Linked DNA regions of Caenorhabditis elegans. The protein of the gene in region 1 interacts with the protein of each later gene in a pairwise test. Each region holds a gene or a part of one and is shown on either strand. Other genes may lie near its edges.

Evidence for each region. The genes of interacting proteins can lie anywhere in the genome.
Region 2: the proteins of C49F5.6 (region 1) and tsp-12 interact in a two-hybrid assay, tested with the Caenorhabditis elegans proteins (2 studies listed by BioGRID).

The regions. Positions count from the first base shown.
Region 1 is NC_003284.9:11,986,446-11,991,817, forward strand, and holds C49F5.6 (Dentin sialophosphoprotein-like), read left to right. Parts: upstream 1-1,868; 5' UTR 1,869-1,930; coding exon 1,931-2,194; intron 2,195-2,275; coding exon 2,276-2,497; intron 2,498-2,548; coding exon 2,549-2,644; intron 2,645-2,698; coding exon 2,699-4,075; intron 4,076-4,125; coding exon 4,126-4,476; intron 4,477-4,522; coding exon 4,523-4,567; 3' UTR 4,568-4,847; downstream 4,848-5,372. Other genes in the region: C49F5.5 (histone acetyltransferase), read left to right, coding at 283-409, 672-784.
Region 2 is NC_003282.8:10,148,648-10,152,363, reverse strand, and holds tsp-12 (Tetraspanin-12), read left to right. Parts: upstream 1-1,761; 5' UTR 1,762-1,810; coding exon 1,811-1,870; intron 1,871-1,923; coding exon 1,924-2,020; intron 2,021-2,116; coding exon 2,117-2,808; intron 2,809-2,853; coding exon 2,854-2,931; 3' UTR 2,932-3,198; downstream 3,199-3,716. Other genes in the region: copg-1 (Coatomer subunit gamma), read right to left, coding at 1-26, 306-330; pigs-1 (GPI transamidase component PIG-S), read left to right, coding at 3,327-3,716. UniProt on the Caenorhabditis elegans protein: Functions redundantly with tsp-14 isoform a to regulate body size, embryonic and vulva development. Functions redundantly with tsp-14 (isoforms a and b) to regulate cell fate specification in the postembryonic mesodermal M lineage and male development.

The DNA of each region.
Region 1 (5,372 bases):
GTGACGGTTCACAAAAAAATCAAGTATAGGCTCCATCTCCATCTGAACGTTTTTCGTTTTCTAATAACATTTCATAACTTCGGAAAGCAATGTTCATACCCAGTCAGATATTTCATTGAGTGACCGTAGCAACGGAAGGTCTGGAAATTAATCTTGGCTCACACGTGAAGTGAAAAAAATATAAAAACTGTAAGGTTATGTTTTAAGAGTAGTCAATTTTTGTGGTGAATTTTCATCAACAATGGTTAATATTTTGCGTCGACTGACTAATAAGATTTTCAGGAGAATTACCAAGCCGCGATCAATGGTCAACCTGCTCGTCATCCACGCTGCGATCTTCCCAGTTGCGGACTCTTCAAATACACGCTTTCTCATTTGAACATGTGCACGAACGGATCGCATTGTCTCAGTATGTTCATTTATTTAATTTTCAAAAGGGACAACTTTTTTTCAATGAAGCATCATTAGACACTAAAGCGACCCCAAAACAGAGGAGGTTCAGTTTCCAGTTCGATTAAAAAACTCCAACAAAATGTAAAAACATACATTGTTTCCCACATACGACACGTCGTGAATGACAAAAAAACCACAAAAGCTATTAAGATTCTATTACCTATTTTTATAAGATTTCAATAATATACCCTACCCTTTTAACCTTACTTAAATTTCAGTTGATTACTGTAACACCTCGAAGCAACTCATCAAACACTGGCGTGAGTGCCAAAATCGTGCTTGTGCAATTTGTGCTCCACTAAGAAGACTTCAAACATTTGGTGGTAGCTAAAGGTAAAAGTAATGACATATGCCAAACTTCAATTTTGATTTGTCTCCCACCATGATCTTCTAATTGTTACTTATTGTTCTGTTTTGTTTTTTATGCATTTAGCGATTGATAAAATGTTCACAGATACTGCTGTTTCGTTTACCGGTCGATTTTGATGGATTTCTTGTTTATTATTTTCAGATTCAGAAAACCAGACGGTCAACTCTAATAGTTTCCTTTTCAAGCGTACAGGAGTTTGTAAACAACATGGCAAACAGAGATGTGCGACTGGCTGATTTTGTCGGCTGTCGGCTGTCGCCAACAGCCGACACCTAGCAATGTTTCGGCTGTCGACTGGCGCTGCCAGCCGACTGAGCTTTATGGTTAAGTTTTGTCGCTAAACTGTATTTTTGCACGTTGCTTTCTTGAAGTGTTTCGGAGCAATTAAGCATACTTTTAGTACAAAAACAAGGTATAGCAAACTTTTTAATCACTTTATCCAACAAAAATAACCACATCGGCTTACTTTTTTCATATATAAAACTTGCAACTAGTGTTCAAATATATCAAAAATCAGTTAATTTTTTTTTAAACCGCCAGCCGAAAACTCTAACTCAAAGGTCGGCTGGCTGCGCCAGCCAACATTAGATTATCAGTCGGCTGTCGGCTGGCGCTACCAGCCGAAAAATCCAATTTTTCGGCTGTCGGCTGGCTGCGCCAGCCGACAGCCGTACATCCCTGATGGCAAACAAACAAACAAACTCACCAACGGGACCTCCCTCCTTTTCTCCCTCCATCTTTACACCATCCGCCGAGAGAGCATGTGAATTTGGGAGGGCGGAAAAGAAAGCGGGGAGGAATAACAAGGTCCGCATGTTTACGTCAATTGTGTTGCACTGTATTGCATGGCGGGAAGAAAAAGGCGCGGTCTTTTTGCTAAACACTACATTAGCATAGACATTTTGTTTTCTTGTGTTTGAGTTGGCATTTTAGTTTCGCTTTCCAATTCAATTTCAATACTTTGATTTATTTAACCTTGATTAACCCTACGATTTCTTGTGAATTTTATGTATATGAAACGTTTCAAAATTAACTATTTTTGAAGGGTAAATTATTGCAACCACGTCTTTATCGGATCACAAGATTTGTATCAATATCTATGCTGTGATGACTACTGTTTCTAAGCCTGATGAGTCGTCTTTTGATGTTCGAACCTTGTCGATGAAAACCTGCGGCTCCCGTCTTTGTGTGGGATTTTGCTATTGCTCGGGAGTGGTGAAGTTCCGCAAGTCAGAGTCGGTGGGAACTGTGGACATTCCTTTCCCAAGTCTTGGAGCTTGTCCATCTTTAACTTTGTCAATGTCCCCAAACATGAACTTTTCTTCAAGAATGGCTTTGGCTCCCACATCGCCAATGAAGCGTTCAAAATCGGTAAGTTCAAGCACAATATTTGTAGTGCACGACTCTTGCAGTCTGTTTTTAGTCTAGTGTTATTTTTAATTCGTTTTTCAGGTACCGAATATTCTTTCTGGTGAATATCCGAATTCCGTTTGTGTCGTTGCCAATTCAATCGATGAAAACGGAGATGCAGGTGTAGACGTTACGGATTGTGCTTCTACAAAGCCACTGGTTCTTGGAAAAGACAATTATCAAGACAACTACTGGGATTCTCAAGAGACGAATCATCGTAATGCCGATATGAAGACTCCAAAGAAAAAAGTTGGAAAAATTTCGGTTCGCATTTAACTTTAACTATTTATAGCATTTATACTGTACTTTTTGCAGAAATTTGTCAACATCTGCGTTTCTGAATTGAAGAAATTCAAGAATCCGAACTCTGGTGTCACATCGATTGATGGTGTTGAAAGGTTGAAGAAGGAGGTTGGTTCCACAGCTATAACGTTTTACTTTGGTATATAAAATACATATTTTCAGATTGCTCCTCTTCCCTCTAGCCCACTCAAGCTCACATCTACATCTACAATCGAGTTTCAGTCAACTGTCACTTCTAGTTCACCAATAATGAGATCTCGTGAAACTACGTCAACTATTCAAAGATCGAAAATAATTTCTTCTACTACAAAGGTCATGTCAGACATGTTGATGGATAAAGAAGGAAAGGATTCAGAAATCTCTGAAAACAGTATCAACTGCTCTACAAACTTGGCTGTCAATAAGATGGGCGATGTGCCATCTCTTTCACAATTTGAGGATGCAGATGGACTCCAGAAGAAGTTGACTGAGCCAGTGGAACTGCCAGCCAAGAGCCAAGAGGTGTACCAATATGATGTTTCTGCCAGCCCAGCCAAAGAGGATCTGAAGTGGAGTACTCTGAAGAAAATTGATCTGATTGTCCCTTCGTTCAGATCAAAGAAACGAGGACTTGTCGCACATTTGAAGAGTTCCCCAATAAGTAAGATCAGTTATGATGGTTCGCCAAGCAAACAAGTTGGTGTGTTGGATGGTGAGATTACTGACGATGGGAGAATTGATTCTGGCCCGGCTAAAGCCATTATTCCAACATCGACTGAAAATATCATTATGCCAAAGGAATTGAATATTTCTGATATTGGAGAAAAAGCAGAAGTATCTCGTGGTTTGCGAAAGCGTCATTTGGAAGATAGTTCTACTCCTTCATCTCGAGGACCGTCTACTCCTGCAAAACTCATCACTGATGAAGATGCGACCAACAAAAAGAAGCGCGTTCTCGGTAAAAACATGGTGGATAACAAAGCCTCTTCTCCCAACAAAGAACACATCTTACCAATTGACCAGCTCAATAACAGTTCTGCGATGGGAATCAGCAGTGAGAACACTGCACCAATGGAGTTGAAAGCTACTGGAAATGACCCGGTCTCGGATGGAGGTGGATACAAGTTTCTTGTAACTGCCGAAACTGGACGGAAGTTCGATGAGTTCAGAGCTAAGCGACAAAGACTTCGTGAATCGTGGATGGAGAATAAATCTCCAACTTCGAACAAAAATGTTCAAACTACTGCTGTTACTAGTGGTTTCCAATCAAATGAGCAAGCTCCGGAAAACCTTCCTGCCACAATGGAATGTTTGAATAAGGAAGCTGCAACTACTCCAATGAATGACAATCGTGCTTTGTTGACAGAAGTTGGGCCAGAAGCTGCACTTGCTGAACCAAAACTGGGCAAGCCACTGTTGCCAGTTGAGAATGTGTTGCAGTATTCAAAGTCTCCATCAAAGACAGCTGTCACTAACAAGCCGACAAAAACCGTTCTCAAAGCAAATTTCAATGCTCCAATTGGAAAGATCAACTCGGACATCAGCTTTTTCACTCCAAAGGTGAGTAGTATTTTGATATGTTGTTTAATTGACAATTGTGATTTTTTCAGAAGGTGTTTGGGAAGAGCGAGTATCAATACGGACCATCAATGGGCAAACTGATTCAAATGATGGGTACTGGAACTCCAAAGAAGGTGTTGCCAGAGTTTGGATCGTCTTCAAAGACTGCATTATTCTCGCCACGAAAAGAAGAACATTGTGCTGGTGCTCCACGTGGTTCATGGAAGATTGCAAAAATGCGTGTACGCACCAAACTGTCCAACTTCTATCCATCAAGCCGCTCTAAAAATTCGCAGCAAATTCGCGGGAAATGGTTGGGACAGAATATTGTTCAGTTCTCGGGTCATCATTCCATGATTGCTCAGTCTGCAAACGACAAGCACGGAGCCAATTTGATGGAGGTTAATGTACACTGAACACATTTCAATTTACAACAAATCATTTCAGATTTCTGCTCAACCATCTACATCTACCACTGCCCAAAACATCTAGAACAAACAAACAAGAATCGATACAGTTTGAAAATGTTTTGAATCTGACTATTTATTTCGCTTTTTGACCCATATTCCCTTTCTATTAAAGTTTTTTTCCATAGTTGTAATCAAATACATTTGCTTTGGCATTAGTCAAAGTTTTTGTTTATTGTCTCCTAATATTCCCAATAAGTATTATCGTAATTACTTTTAATTCTAATTGGTTATAAGATTGTTTTATCATATCCGTTTTGTATAATTTGAATTCTATGCGAAGAATAAATTGAGTGCAGGTTTCGATTAAAAGTTCTCTAGACGTATCCCATGGTTGGTGATCTATATGGAGCTGCCGAAATCCTTGTAACAGGCCGTTCAATACCATCGGCAAGTAACAGGCATGATCTTGCCGAAAGGAACCCAATTTTGATGCCATAGTCGAAACGCATAATCGAGGAAATTTAATACATATTTTAAAAACAAATTCAACCATCCAAATAATTATTTACTGATTTAGTCAATACAATAGTTCCGTCAACAAGTTAAAACCTATTTAAAAACAATTTTATTAATAAAAAAAATTTAGTCCGACATTACTATGACATGAAGTAATGTACGCAGTTTCCGATTGTCAATCTTTCAATCTTACTTGTGAGTGTTCGTATTTCTTTACAAATTCCGTCATTCCATATTATAAACGGTTTAGATCCTGAAAATGTATATATTGGTATATTGACATATTGGCATGTTGTTAATTCAATTATCAGACATAATAAAGTTTGTTAATCTATCAAGTTTGATTTCGTCTACAGAAAACTTACTTGCAA
Region 2 (3,716 bases), on another chromosome or scaffold:
GTTGGTCTTCATTCTTGAAGATTGACCTGGAAAATAAAACCATTACATTTTTTGTGGCGCGAAGAATGTATAACGGAGTAACTCAAAATCATTCGGCCGACTTCGAATTCTGATGGCAAAAATTAGGAACCCAACATTTATGATTTTTCGAGGATACACTGTTTTGCTACTGATTAATCGAATAATGAGAAAAACCAACGTGTTCTATTGAGAAGCGAGAGAAAAGTCATGCACAATCAAGGAGCGACTACAAGCACAAAGAAATTACAAAATAATAAATCACAATCACGACGTCTCAAAATTACCTCCTTTAGTTTTTGGGGCACTCATTTTTACGTGTTATTTTTCAAACTTTCAGCTTCTGAAAATTTTCAACTGTGCATAAATGATGGAGATTAGTTCAAAGTGAGTCAATCTGAATCGAATAACTGTTATTTGGAAGATTTAAAGTGATATTATATTGACGGACGAACAGTTGCGAAGTTATTTGGAAAGTCATACATACACAGTTGGTCGCGAGGTTTACAATGTAAATTTAACATTTGAAACATTTACTGCGTGATTAATCACCTCAAAAATTTGAACCCTTATTTATAAAACATTTTTCAGCTAATAATATAAATAAAATATTAGGGAAAATACGTAAAATTGAAAACCAGACTTTTCTTCTATCGCTGCAACGTGTCTGTCTGCAACTTGTCGTCAAATGTGTTGTTCAGTCCGTAAACACTCGTTGTCCACCGTATTTCTCATTGAATTTCCCTCCATTTATTAAATGAATGCGGCCACGGCCGGGCATGTGATTTCATAAGTTTAACTGTTTCTTTTGTGTACTTTATATTTATTAAGTATCCCCAAAACTTGGTATTTTCAAAATTATTCACTGCAAAGTGCAAATGTATTTCAAATTCACAGAACTTGTGAATAATTTAGAAGCTTTCTTGCATTCCCAATGACTGGGACCATGTTTCGAGCAGTTTTACGCCACCATTTATCAGAGTAGAATCAGGGCTCCCTGGAGACTTGATGTGAGAACAAAGAAGCTTTTTTATTTTTCTTGAAGTCTGCCCAGTTTTTTTCACAACAATTCAAATTCTGCAATTTGGTTGCATTTGCATGCATGCTTTCTAACAAATAATTGCAAATGCTTCATTTTACATTGTTTTGAATTTTGAAGTATTTCTGAAAAATTAATCCCATTACCGATCCGTTTCTCGCCAGTTCTCCAACTCAAGGACATATTTTTGCTTCCCTTTATATAATTACACCTTCATGTTACCTCCCGTCGCTTTGTTCAAAAATACCCACTGGTTGGCAAAAATATTTGAATTATTGATCGTTGTAAGATACTAGTCTGATACTTTTCGTTTTTCCGTTCTCTTTTAATATCTCCATCGAATTCAATGAACTAATGGATGAAGGCGGCAATTGAAATCATTCGTTGCAAGCCTGCCAGACCACACAGTGAAAAACGAAGAGAAGGAGGCTAGTAACAAGATAACGTATTACGTTTCCTCCGTCTCTTTGGTTTTCCAATCTTTCTCGTAGTATAGACTATTGAAAAGAAAAAGAGGAAGCTGAAGGGGAACATTTCTTTCCTGGAAAATTTGTTTGCACACTCTTCTTGTCTTTATTGACACTTTATGTGACTCACTGGTCACTTTTTCTCTACCTGTCCGGTTTCCAGAAAGGATTATATTATGTATCTTTTTAAACTCTGACCTCATGTATTTTATTTTAATTAAATTTAAATTTTCCCAGCAAGATTGCTCGTCGGCCAGAACATCATCGGCCACTTCTCACCCATCAGATGGCCAATCGACGACAGCCGGTGCAACACAGAGCACAGCAGAGGGTATATAGACAATCGGTTAGTTGAAAAAATTTAGAATTTTTTTTTCAAAAACAATTATCGAGTTTCAGCAAATTCGTTATGCCCCCGGCGCTGGTGGTGAATCGGAAATCAGTTGTTGTGTTAAATATTCGGTTTTCAGTTTCAATGTAATCTTCTTTTTGCTAGGTTTGTTTTTTCAAATATAATCTTAAAATGCTCAAAAATTTTCGAAACATTTATTTAAAAATTGATCTTCAGAAAAAAAATAATATGAAATTTCAGGATTTGGTCTGCTCTTGTTCGGAGTTTGGGCACAAATTGAGAAGAACACCTTTGTAAATATGCTGAGTAAAGCATCGAAACTGTATCTCGATCCGACGTGGCCACTTCTCATCGTTGGATTTCTCACATTTATCATTGGTTTCAGTGGATGTGTTGGATCACTACGAGAGAATACATCCTTCCTTACATTCTATTCAACACTTCTTGGCCTTTTGCTCATCGCCGAATTCTCAGCAGGAGTATTCGCATATGCTTGCAGAGATCAACTTGATAACTATATTAGAAATCTATTGAACGATGTGGTAGTTGGATATAGAGATGATCCGGATCTTCAGCTATTGATTGATTCTATGCAAGAGACGTGGATGTGTTGTGGAATCAACGGAGCCGACGATTGGGATAGAAACACCTATTTTTCAATAGAAGCCAGAGAAGTGGCCTCTCCAGAAGCTGGCGGAGTTCCATTTTCCTGTTGTATCAACAGTAGTAAACTGGAATTCAAGAACTACTTCTGCGGGCACGGTGTTCGTTTAAAACCAGAAAGCCACATGGCAGCACATCTTGCGGCTCAACGTGTGATGGCCCACACTGCATCGATTTATACGGAAGGATGTCTGCCGAAACTTCAACTTTGGCTTAATAATAACATGCTATTAGTAGCCGTTTCGATGGTTATTATTGCAATAATCCAGGTATTAAATTCGAATGAAAAATTGATTATTAGTATTTAATTTCAGGTTCTCGGTATCTGTTTCGCTCAAAATCTCAAATCGGACATACTCGCTCAACGGGCAAAATGGTATTATACCCATTAATCAATCAAATAATCAATTAATCAACGAAATATTCTCTACCTTCCAATGTATTCACTTCTACGCAGCTTTCTTTCGACTTACCACAGCCTATGCCGGTCACAAAAAATTCATCCACTTTGCAAAATATACGTTCGATTCTCTAAAAGAAACCATTTGGTTTGTCACAACTTCCTCAACTTTTGCCTTCTTTGTTTCTTTTTCCCAAAACCCCATGTTTTTACTGGTATTTTCAAACTTTGTGAGATTCCAATGAAATTTTCATATTTTATCCGTCCGGATCCGTTTCGAAGTTTTAAACATGTTTTCTGTTATTTGCAGTGGCTTTAAAAATATATATATACTCAAAAGTCCAAATGAAATCATAAATTTCAAATCTAAAACTAAAATTTCACAGAATGACGGAAGATGAAGAAATGCCACAGGAAAGTTCGAAGAGTTTCAAGCAAAAAGCTCTAGACTTTTTACTGGGAAGACAAACGGAAACGGAAGAATATGGAGAAATAACACAATCATTTATCAATTATGTACACTCGGAACGCCCGTATAAGTTAGCTGCATCATTATCTTTTGTTATTCTTGTATTTTTCATCGGTATGCCAATGTGGCATTTTACAACTTCAACATATCGTTCAAACTTTCCCACATTTCCATCAAATCAATCAATAACTGTACCAATTCGTGTTATTTTTGTGATAACATCGGAAGATCTGAGAAATGATGTTAAAACTCTAATGAATGAGTTGGAAGTAAATATGACGAAGAAAGAAGTGGTGGCTCCATTGGAT